Linked DNA regions of Schizosaccharomyces pombe. Changing the gene in region 1 together with any one later gene gives a genetic interaction. Each region holds a gene or a part of one and is shown on either strand. Other genes may lie near its edges.

What was found.
Region 2: of dsk1 (region 1) and prp2, changing one suppresses a phenotype caused by changing the other (phenotypic suppression), as found in Schizosaccharomyces pombe (one study listed by BioGRID).

What each region holds. Positions count from the first base shown.
Region 1 is NC_003423.3:823,952-829,834, reverse strand, and holds dsk1 (SR protein-specific kinase Dsk1), read left to right. Parts: upstream 1-1,902; 5' UTR 1,903-2,021; coding exon 2,022-3,656; 3' UTR 3,657-4,087; coding exon of another isoform or gene 4,088-4,590; 3' UTR 4,591-4,646; coding exon of another isoform or gene 4,647-4,770; 3' UTR 4,771-4,835; coding exon of another isoform or gene 4,836-4,961; 3' UTR 4,962-5,030; downstream 5,031-5,883. Other genes in the region: SPOM_SPBC530.15C (spermidine family transporter), read left to right, coding at 1-744; lsc1 (Lsk1 associated cyclin), read right to left, coding at 4,088-4,590, 4,647-4,770, 4,836-4,961, 5,175-5,256, 5,301-5,461. UniProt on the Schizosaccharomyces pombe protein: May play an important role in mitotic control by altering cellular location, degree of phosphorylation and kinase activity. Abundant expression accelerates the exit when cells are in M-phase and also delays the entry into mitosis when cells are in G2.
Region 2 is NC_003423.3:1,011,447-1,015,990, reverse strand, and holds prp2 (U2 small nuclear RNA auxiliary factor small subunit, U2AF-59), read right to left. Parts: upstream 2,682-4,544; 5' UTR 2,437-2,681; coding exon 883-2,436; 3' UTR 812-882; downstream 1-811. Other genes in the region: tif1102 (translation initiation factor eIF1A-like), read left to right, coding at 224-522, 575-659; fan1 (fanconi-associated nuclease 1), read left to right, coding at 3,279-4,544. UniProt on the Schizosaccharomyces pombe protein: Necessary for the splicing of pre-mRNA. The SF1-U2AF59-U2AF23 complex has a role in the recognition of the branch site (5'-UACUAAC-3'), the pyrimidine tract and the 3'-splice site at the 3'-end of introns.

The sequences.
Region 1 (5,883 bases):
CTTACTGGGAACTATTGCTTACATGCCAAATCAGAAGAAGAGCCCTTGGAATTCTCATACTTTTTCCACAAATACTTCACATTTCCTCTCCGTCTTTTAATATTTGAGCCCATATTACTTGTGGTTTCAACTTATACCGCTTTCGTATATGGTATCCTTTATGGATTACTTGAAGCATACCCAGTTATTTTTGGGGAGAGTCGAAAATGGAGGTTGGGTGTTGAATCTCTTCCGTATTTGGCTATTTTTGTTGGTGTTTGTATTGGATGCTCTAGCGTTGCCCTGTTCCAGCCCTACTATTTTAAAAAGATGGATGAAAATAAAGGAAGACCTGTTCCTGAAGCACGACTTCCCTCCATGATGATCGGTTGCATTGTCTTTCCCATTGGCATCTTTTGGCTTGCTTGGACTGGTAATTATCCATGGATTCATTGGATTGTTCCAACTTTGGCAGGTAGTTTTATTGGCTTTGGAATCATTACAATTTTTCAACAAACAATCAATTATATCATTGATTGTTATAGTGGATGTTCTGCTTCTGCAATCGCGGCCAATACATTACTTAGAAGTTCGTTTGGCGCGGCATTTCCTCTTTTTACAACCCAAATGTTCAATAATTTGGGAATTGGTTGGGCTGGTTCTCTGGTCGGATTTGTTGCAGTTGGGCTTATTCCAGTTCCTTTTATGTTGTTTTTATATGGGCCGAAATTACGACAAATGAGCAAGCACTGTCTAAAGGATTAATTCGTCATAGAAGTCCGCTTTTTAGTTGATTTGCTTGACCCTCTCTTTTCCAGTTTTTGTTTTTCTTATTTCTGTTATATTCATCTTTTTTATTCAGAAACCATGCCCGCGGTTTGTTGCCTTGGGTTAATGGCCTCAGCATTTACTTGTTGTTATTGTTATTTTCGTTAATTTAACCAGTTTGCTGCCGTTTAGATATTTAGAAACGATGGACTTTGTTTTAAATGATCTCTATTACCCGCTGCCTCTTTCTTTTGTCTTTTTGTGACTTCTTTAATAATTCATCATCCTCAATGATTACTTTTGTTGATCTCCGTTTCCTTTATGTTTCTGATCATCACAAAAAAAGTACCTTTCAAATAGACATTTATATTTATTGGTTGGTTATGAACCTTACATATGATTTCCGTTTACCATAATACATTGCTAAGACCTCAACAAAAATAACTGTTAGCACAGGCCATACTTGTCAATTTATTATATCCCGTTTTTATCAATGTAATTGAATGTTTTCGAGTCCAGGTCTTGCCCGTAGAATCACGGTTAGTGTGAGTAGGTAGTAGATCTCGGGCCGTAGGTGTGAATGCCGTAAAGCTAGAACATTATCTGAGAATTTTCATTTTAAGAACGCCGTATGTTGAGAGAGAAAACAGATCTTAAATATCCCTCTTTTCAACGACTCAAGAATTGTTTACATTTTTTCTAGCTATCCTGTCGAGATCTAAGAGCTGAATGGGATACAGTTATAATGGATAACGATATAAATTTGGAAGACCTTAACACATCTTATGGAATTCTAACGGCTGGGCTACTTCGGTAAAAGTAGTTAGTAAGGGATAGCGATGGGATGAAAGCGCAGGGGGTTCATATTCTATCAACTGCTGATATTTTTAGTGATGCCTTAGTCATTGGTATTCATATATACGGATTTTTAAGTAGTATTATTAAAATATTTATGGTACAGTAACGGAGTGTAAAGGTGGCTTCTCCTACTGGCGTAAAATAATTAGTAAACCATTTTCCCATTTTTTGTTATTTACTATATCGAAACGCTCTTCCTAATGCGCAAAGTTTCCTCGGTAGTGTGCTAAGACTCCACGGTGTTTCCCCGTGTTGATTTTCGCACTAAAAATACTACTCCATACCGTATTTATAACCAGAACAAACAACAACAACAACGAAGGAATTGGTGTATTCACATATCTCAGATATTTTAATTTAAGAGCTGGAGGGACATATCAGTAGTTTCTTCATACGGGGCAGCCAGCCATTTTGAAATGGGAAGTGACGGGTCGAGTTTGTCACCGAAAGTGTCACAACCGGGACACACTGAAATAGTTGACCATGTCAGTGAAAAGGTGATCACGAATGGAAAAAATGTTAATAAAAAGGTCAATGCTGAAGTAGACGGAAAAAGCATGGTGGAAAAGGTAAAAACGCACGAAGAAAATGCAGAGGACTATCACTATGGTGGATACCACCCAGTCTACATTGGTGAAGAATTTCATCACCGTCGATATGTCGTTGAAAGAAAATTAGGCTGGGGACATTTTTCAACGGTTTGGCTTGCATATGATCGAGCTGCCAAACGGAGAGTAGCTTTGAAGGTGGTGCGTTCAGCAGAGCACTATCGAGAGACCTCAATTGATGAAATTCGCATTTTGCAGAAAATTAGAGAAGGGGACGAAAAGCATTTGGGCAAAAAGCATATCATTTCTTTGCTCGATTATTTTGTGCATCGTGGTCCTAATGGAGCTCATGTCTGTATGGTATTCGAAGTTCTCGGTGAGAATCTTTTAAGTTTGATACAGTCATACGGCCATCGAGGAGTACCTGTGGGTATTGTAAAGCAAATTGCCTACCAATTACTCATCGCTCTGGATTACTTGCATCGAGAATGCGGGATCATTCATACTGATCTTAAACCCGAAAATGTTTTAATATGCATTGATCAGGATGCCTTGCAACATATTGAGGCACCTGCAACAACTTCCTCCCCCACTTCTAATACCTCTTCTTCAAAAACAAGAAATAACACTGGTTATACAGCCAAAGCTCCAATTATTAAACGTGGCCAATCTGTAGATAACTCTGCCCAAGAACGCAAGACATTTGCAAAAAATCCAACTAAGAATTCTAAGCCTGCTGGCCAGGTCATTCCTAGCAGTCCTTTTACTTCCACTTTGAGCCGCTTTCCTTCATTAGAAGGTGCTGTTTCAGAAATCAGCCTTCGTGACTCTCAAAAGCATAATTCTCATCCTAATTCTCCGTTTTCTAGTGGAGATAATTCTCTTATACTTGATGGTGTTAACGGTTCTCAGGAACCCGTTCCAAAAATCACTGTTAAAATTGCCGATCTCGGTAACGCGTGCTGGACACGGAAGCATTTCACCAACGATGTGCAAACCCGTCAGTATAGGTCTCCAGAAGTAATTCTAGGATGTCGCTGGGGAGCTTCCGCTGATTGCTGGAGTTTTGCCTGTATCATTTTTGAATTGCTAACCGGCGATTACCTTTTCGATCCACGGAATGGGAATTCTTATTCTAAGGAGGATGACCACATTGCCCAAATTATTGAGTTATTGGTTAATTATCCTAAGCAAATGGCACTTTCAGGAAAGCACTCCCGCGATTTATTTAACCGTCGCGGTGAACTCCGAAATATTCATAAATTGAAGTTTTGGCCTTTAAAAGATGTTTTGGAGCAAAAATACCATTTTTCAGCCGAGTTGGCTCAACAAATATCAGACTTTTTATCTCCTATGTTATGTTTTGATCCTGCCAAGCGAACCAATGCTGGTTACATGAGCAATTCTCCATGGTTGCGCGAAGTGGCTGATCCTACGTTCAAAATCGAGACTACTGGAGCAACCGGTGAAGATGTACCCGGATGGGCTACTGAAATTCGTTAGTGTTTACCTTGATATTGGTTTTGAAGCGCTAGTAAATGATTTTTTTTTATATATAGTTTTTTTTTGCGATATCGTCCCTTTTTTAATTTCCCACCATTAGCGTGATTGCTTTAAAAAAGCATGACACCTTTCACTCTGAAATGGGTTACGTATGATTATCACGATTCCTTCTTTTGATCAACATTTACTGCACTGAAATTTGAACGAAATTTCCTTTTACTTAATGAATATTTAAGATATAGCAGGGTTTAGGTCAGCTGCTTTTTAAATCATATTATGTTTAGAAAACGCATAAAATAAAGTTTTGTCATTCAAAAGGAAGTTAATTGGAAATTGGTAACTTGTAATGTCACATATTAATATACTGTTCAGAATGCTGTCGAAAGAAGGAACAAACCGATGGTAAGATAACTCATTAAGGAACCATTAGATTAAACCGTACCTTTATTTCTCCTTTCTTCCAGCATTCGTTTTTCAAATTCGGTATTAAAATACTTTCTATCGCAGTCTAAAATAAATCTGGCACAACTTTCTTTGGATTCTTGAAGTCTCTTATTTGACTCACGGTATTCATCTGCTAAAGAAGAAGAATGAGGGTCAATTTGGGGTGGTTTTTGAGGACGGCCAGAGTTTTTTTGGGCTCGTTGGAAGTCAACACATAATCCAAGTAATTTTTCCGTTGTATACATATTACCAATGCAAGTGTGAGGCTGATAATGCATATATAGATCGAGTATATCCGCAATCACTGCTTCCGTTAGTGCTGGTGGAGCGAAGAACGATCTGGGAATTATAGGTTGAGGAAGTTGCTGTAACTTGCAAGCAATAGAAATCGATGCGACGGCAACAATATGGGCTGGATATTTTAACATTGTGTATGTTTTATAAGCATCAGTGCAGACATTCCAAGCTATACTTGCCGTGGAAGATGAAACTGAAAGTAAATTAGTTAACTCGAAAATTATAAGGTAAAATGAATAGCAGTCATACATTTCAGTGATTTTGCAAATTTTACCATGTAATTGTGTGGATGTCGGACTCGAAAATCGAAACAAATCAATTCCAGTGTCATTCTTTCTAAACCTAGAATCCTCTTCTTGTTCTCTTCGATTAGCTAATACACCTGTAAGCAAGTCTCCTTATAAACAAAAAACAATTATTGCGCACCTTGTAACATACTTGTGAATGAGCATCGACCTCAGAACCTGGATGCTTTTGAAGATAATGTGCTAAAAGAATATCACGAAACTTTTTGGCCGTATCTTCGATTTTACTAGCAACTACTAAGCAAGCAGTAGCGCACTCCTAAATGTGTTAGTTATTTTTGAAAGAAAAAGAGCCTAAATCAAGAGAATATGATGTTTATAACTTGGAGTAGCTGAGCTAACATTATTAAAAACTGTAGTCTTTTTTAATAGTATGACCAATGTACAGCATTCAGAATATTCTTATATCAGAATACGTAAAATTTCAAATAGCACAGCATACTCATGTGCGAAAGACATCCAAATAACATACCAGCAAAGGAATTTCATTCACGGGAAAAAATAGTTGGAAACGACTGTATAAAAGCATTGCAAGGCCGCTGGTCCTTACAGGGCTAAAAAAAAGTTAGATTCTAGATAATTTTGAGGAAAAGCATACAATTTTAAAGTTTTTGAAAGTGTTGATATCCAAGCGAACGCCTGCATTCGCAAATTATTTTCTTTGGGATCTCGCGTCGACAAAATTCGACTTATTTCTTTTTCTGAATAGTATGGGTGTGACATTCGTATTGAAAGTACATGATTCTCATTTTCTGCCATTTTAGCAGCTAAAATGGTGCTGGGTTTGTGAAGGCCTGGCTTTACCTGCAAGGTGCAAGTATGCTGAAGTTAAGCGATTCCTTTTAAGTAACGCATTTTATCATGTTGTATACTGTAAATCAATTAAAATAAAATAATTTTAATTCAGCAATTGCAGCTCGAAATTATCATGGAAATGTTCGCAGTTATTGAATTTGTAAATTATGACAGTCCTGCGTGCTATTGTAAAAGAGTTATGAAATTACTCATTTCTAAAATAAAATGATTGTTTAACCTTCGGAGTGTTCGTCGTTTAATTTCTGAAAGTAGCGAACTCCTACACTACAACATGATTTTAGTAAATTAGTTATTTAAGTAAGGAATAGAGACGCTATGACCTTCACGCCAATTTGTCTGTTAATTAAAATATTTTTTGCATTTTT
Region 2 (4,544 bases), 190 kb from region 1:
AAAGTTTTTTTTTAAGGGTAGTTTATATGAGATAAAGATCAATTTTTACGTTTAAGTTATAATGGTATACTAAATTTTATTTTTTCATAGAAAGGAATGACATTTATGAAATGCATATCATCTTGTAAATCCACTTGTCGAAGCTTCCTAACCACCATAAACCCAATTCTCTACGATTTGCTTGGTTATCACATATATACGAGCTCTTTAGAGAAATACTAATATGTCAAAAAAATATGGCGGTCAAATTTCGTTTGATCCACCAGCTAGGTTGGAAAAAGATCAAGTCGTCGCCAAAGTTGTGCAACTTAAAGGATCTGCGCTTTTTATGGTAGTAGAAAACAATGGACAGGAATTACTTGTTGAGATGCCTCCAAAGTATCGTAATAAAATATGGGTTAGGAGAAATGGGTTTGTAATAGTTGATAAATCTGAGTTTTTAGAGAAGGACAATAAAATTGACGGTACTATATTGTACGTGGTACAAAGCCCTTTAAAAAATTGGAAAAAACAAATTTATTGGTAAGAAATTCTCTTGAAATAACATTAGATGATTGTGCTAACTAGTTTAAAGGCCTAAAGAGTTTGCAGATGAATCGTTAAATCAAAACGATTCTGAGGAAAGCAGCAGTAGCGAGGAAGAATACGATAGTGACTAACAATTTACAAAAAATACATATATTAAGAATCCTTACAACGAACCTTGTAAATTAAACCGATGATAAAAAGCGTATAACGGGAAATGCTTGCAAGAATTACTTCATCCCACAATCGCTCATTACAATTGAGTACTTTGTTACACTTTAAACAATCCAATGAGAAATACTGATATTATTACCCTAACATTAAGATATTATACTAACCTTTTCATTGAAACTGAAATCACCATGCATTAGCTTTATAGCAATCCTCACCATAAAAAGCAATGACAATCGTGCGATCATTAAATTTACAACCTTTCATCTCTTCCATTGCGACCTCTGCAGATCTGATATCGGAGTATCGTACAAAAACCTTTCCAGTTCCTAATCCCGAGTTTCTAGTGCCAATACTACGAGGAATTTTTATATCTATAAGTGGTCCATAATTCGAAAATTGGGTCTTTACAGACTCATATATGTCTTCATATTCTTGTACATCCATAATTTCGTCCCCAGTAATTAAATTATGTAATTGTAAGACTCTAGTTGGAATAGATTGTGATGACGCCTTAGCAAGTTCTGTCAAAATGGCCATTCCATTAGACTTATCTATCATAGCTTGATTGAGACCTACACAAGCAAATTGTGCGTGTAACTTGTTCCCATACGTATCTTTACCATCAAGACCGCTGATAGCTACTTCCGCATCAGAAGGATTTTTAAATTCGCAAAAACAAAAACCCTTCGAAGATCCATCTGCAATATTTTTTATCAATTGAAAGCTTAATAAATCACCGAAAGGCTTAAGTAGCTCCACCACTTGATCTTCGCCTAAATTTAAAGGTAAATTTGAAATGTAAATTTTGTCTTTTGAATCTAAAACGTCGTTCTTGGCATAATCATCACTTCTTTTTTGAGAAACTTCGGGGGTAATTTGAGGGACGATGTAATTTTGAATTCTTTGAAATTTTAAAAAGACATCATTAGAATATGATTCGGACTGAAGCCCCCAGAGGAAGGTGGCATCTTCAGGAGTAGCGACCTCAAGAATAGCAAAGTTTTCTTCTTTACAGACGTTGACAGAGGAGAAATGCTTTGTCTCGGGTTTATGGTATGTAGTTGAAATAAATAGATCTTCGATAAATGATACAAAAGCATCTTCAACGAATTCGTTAGGAATTCCAGTAACCACTAGTCGACGAGCCTGTCTGCTAGCACCTGGTTGTAAGGGCGGAGGGGGAGCAATAATACTTCCTTCCGCAGAGCGAGCAAATTCTAGCAATTTCTCTGGATCAGTAACTGCAGCTCTAGGAGCGCCTGGCAAAGGAAAAACACCAGACATTTTCGCCTGGTCAGCAGTAACCAATTCATAACCAGGTGGTTTAATGTCCCATAAAGAGCGCTTCCTTTTCCACTGATTTATTGGTGTTACATCTCTCAATTGTTCGAGTTCCTGTTCGATAGACCTTACGCTTCTTTCTCGGCTGGGAGGTGGACTTCTACTTCTTCCGACAGATGAATAACGTAATGATCGAGGCTCATAATCATCATATCTTCTTTCTCTTCTTGGCCTCTCATCCTCTCGATAACTTCTTTCACGAGATTCTCTATGTCTACGAAAATCACTTTCGTCTCGGCGACGTCTTCTAGGTCGTTCAGAGCCATAATGGCCTCTCGGGTCTTCCCTTCCTATCCCACCCGAACCTCTTTCTCGTCTAGGTTCTTCATCGCGATAATCTCTGTGTCGCTTGGGTATCCGTGAAGAACCTGATGATAATCTGGAAGACAAATCCATGTTAGTGAATGAATATGAGGCTATTTAAAAAATTATTCAAAAAAGAAGGGAGGGAAGAAATTCGTTTATTAAAATGAACTCTTAAATTCTCCGGAAAAAACTTTGATGAAAGTAGGGAATACAAAAGTACAAATTCTAATGAAATGATATGCGCGTCAATGCTCTTGGATTCCTTGCTAAAAAAAATTTATAACATGAACAATAATAATTAACTTATTTTTTCTTTATGTGATACGCCCAAGGTTAGTCAAAAGTTTCGACTTACTAAGTTAAGGTAGTGAGAGTTTGTAGTAACTTCGCCAGCGTCGTAATTTTAAGCACAACGTTGTTGACTTACATTTTCTTTTTAGTTTCAAATAGCAACTTTCGCTAAACTTGCATTATAGACAACACTGTAACTTACGAATGCAGTTAAATTTTCAAAAGCATTTATTTAAACTGTTGTCCTTACCCTAGTACCATTCTCCTAAGTTTTAACGAATTTTTCTCTTTTGACCATAGTATTTGATTGTATGGCTTTCTTTTAAAGCAATCTTTAAAAATTTACAGCTGCCATGAAATTCAATAATTTTCGTTTTTTTTTTGCCAGTACATCCACGATAGATTTAATGTTTGTCTCATTTTATCCTTGAAATCCATGCTCTTAAATTGTATGTTCAATCTTTTAAAAATTTACTTTATTACACAAGAAGACGTTTACATTCATTCAAAATTTATTATTATTTATTTTCATACTAGCTTTCCATTGTTGTAAAAGCCGCTCTTTTTTTTAAATATTTGTTTACTTACGGCCATCATCTTGTGCACTTATTCAGTCGCGCTGCTGTGATATCTAAAAATTCATGAAACGATTCTTTAATGAAGCGTGCGACATAAACACTCCAGATAAATCTGGGGTAAACGAGAACAAGTTATGTTTCCCTCCCTTAAAAGTTGTATGTCAAGCACCAGAGACAACAGTTAAAGGACAAGTTGCCAATACTAATAAGCACAATGTATATTCTACTAAAAATTCAATGTATCTGCTGGGGTTCGAAGAAATCCTAAACACCGTCCTCGATTGTGAACCGCATATCTTTACTGATGATGAGTTGAGGGTTATTGAAAACTTTAAAGCTTTAGACTCGGATGAACGGTACTTGTTTGTTCGTCTATTCATGCGTAAAAGAAATAAATGGTTCCGCGTGGGCCATTTGACTTATCCAGATTGCAAGGATGTTATTGCCTGCTGTAAGCAGCTTGTTCTGAAAAATTTTTTTGAAGATGAATCACTCATGTCAACTGAAGAAATAATTGAAATTCTATCTCTCGATGAATTGCGTTCGTTAGCTAGACAAACGAAGGTGTGTGGAAAAAGCAGGTCTGAAATTTCAAAAGAAATCATTTTCCTATCTAAAAGACAATCAGTACTACATTGTAATGGTCAACAATTTTTGTCCTTTGATGCTTTTGGTGTGATGCATAAGCAAGAGTCGTTTCTTCGGAAGCAACTATTATATCAATGCAAATCCTGTGTGAAACCAAAGAAAATTTTAGTAGACCTATTTCATCGAATTAATATTGTGTACTTTCGTTCGTCCATTTATGATGAACAATCGCTTACGTCTTTAATATTAGCACGCCTTAACAAATTTTCCTACCCGAATTACGTTTTATCGCGAACTTCAAACGTCTTTAATTGTCGTGCTCAATGCCTTGAATACGTTGAGGTTTTAGAACTTTCAAAAAACTTGGTTCCAATCTTTGAAAACACTGCCGCTTCGGATAAGGAAGCACTCGAACAAGCGTTGAACAGTTTTTTTGAAATATATCCTATATGGTCGACATATCTAAATGAAGACATTAGGGAATTTTGGGTGGAAGAAAATAGAAAAGTAGATACTCGATTGGTAAGGTTTTCTTTTAGCTTTCGTCCTGGTGCTGTTTACACATACTTAATACATAAAAGTCTAAATATTCTCGCGAAGTCGCGATTAGTTGAGGTTGAACATGAAATATTAGATACCCTTTTATCTCAAAATATATATTTGGTGGGTAAAAGAGGACATTGGTATAATAGAAAAGCCTTACTGGAATACAACTTTAAAACTGAGGATACTAACGTTTTG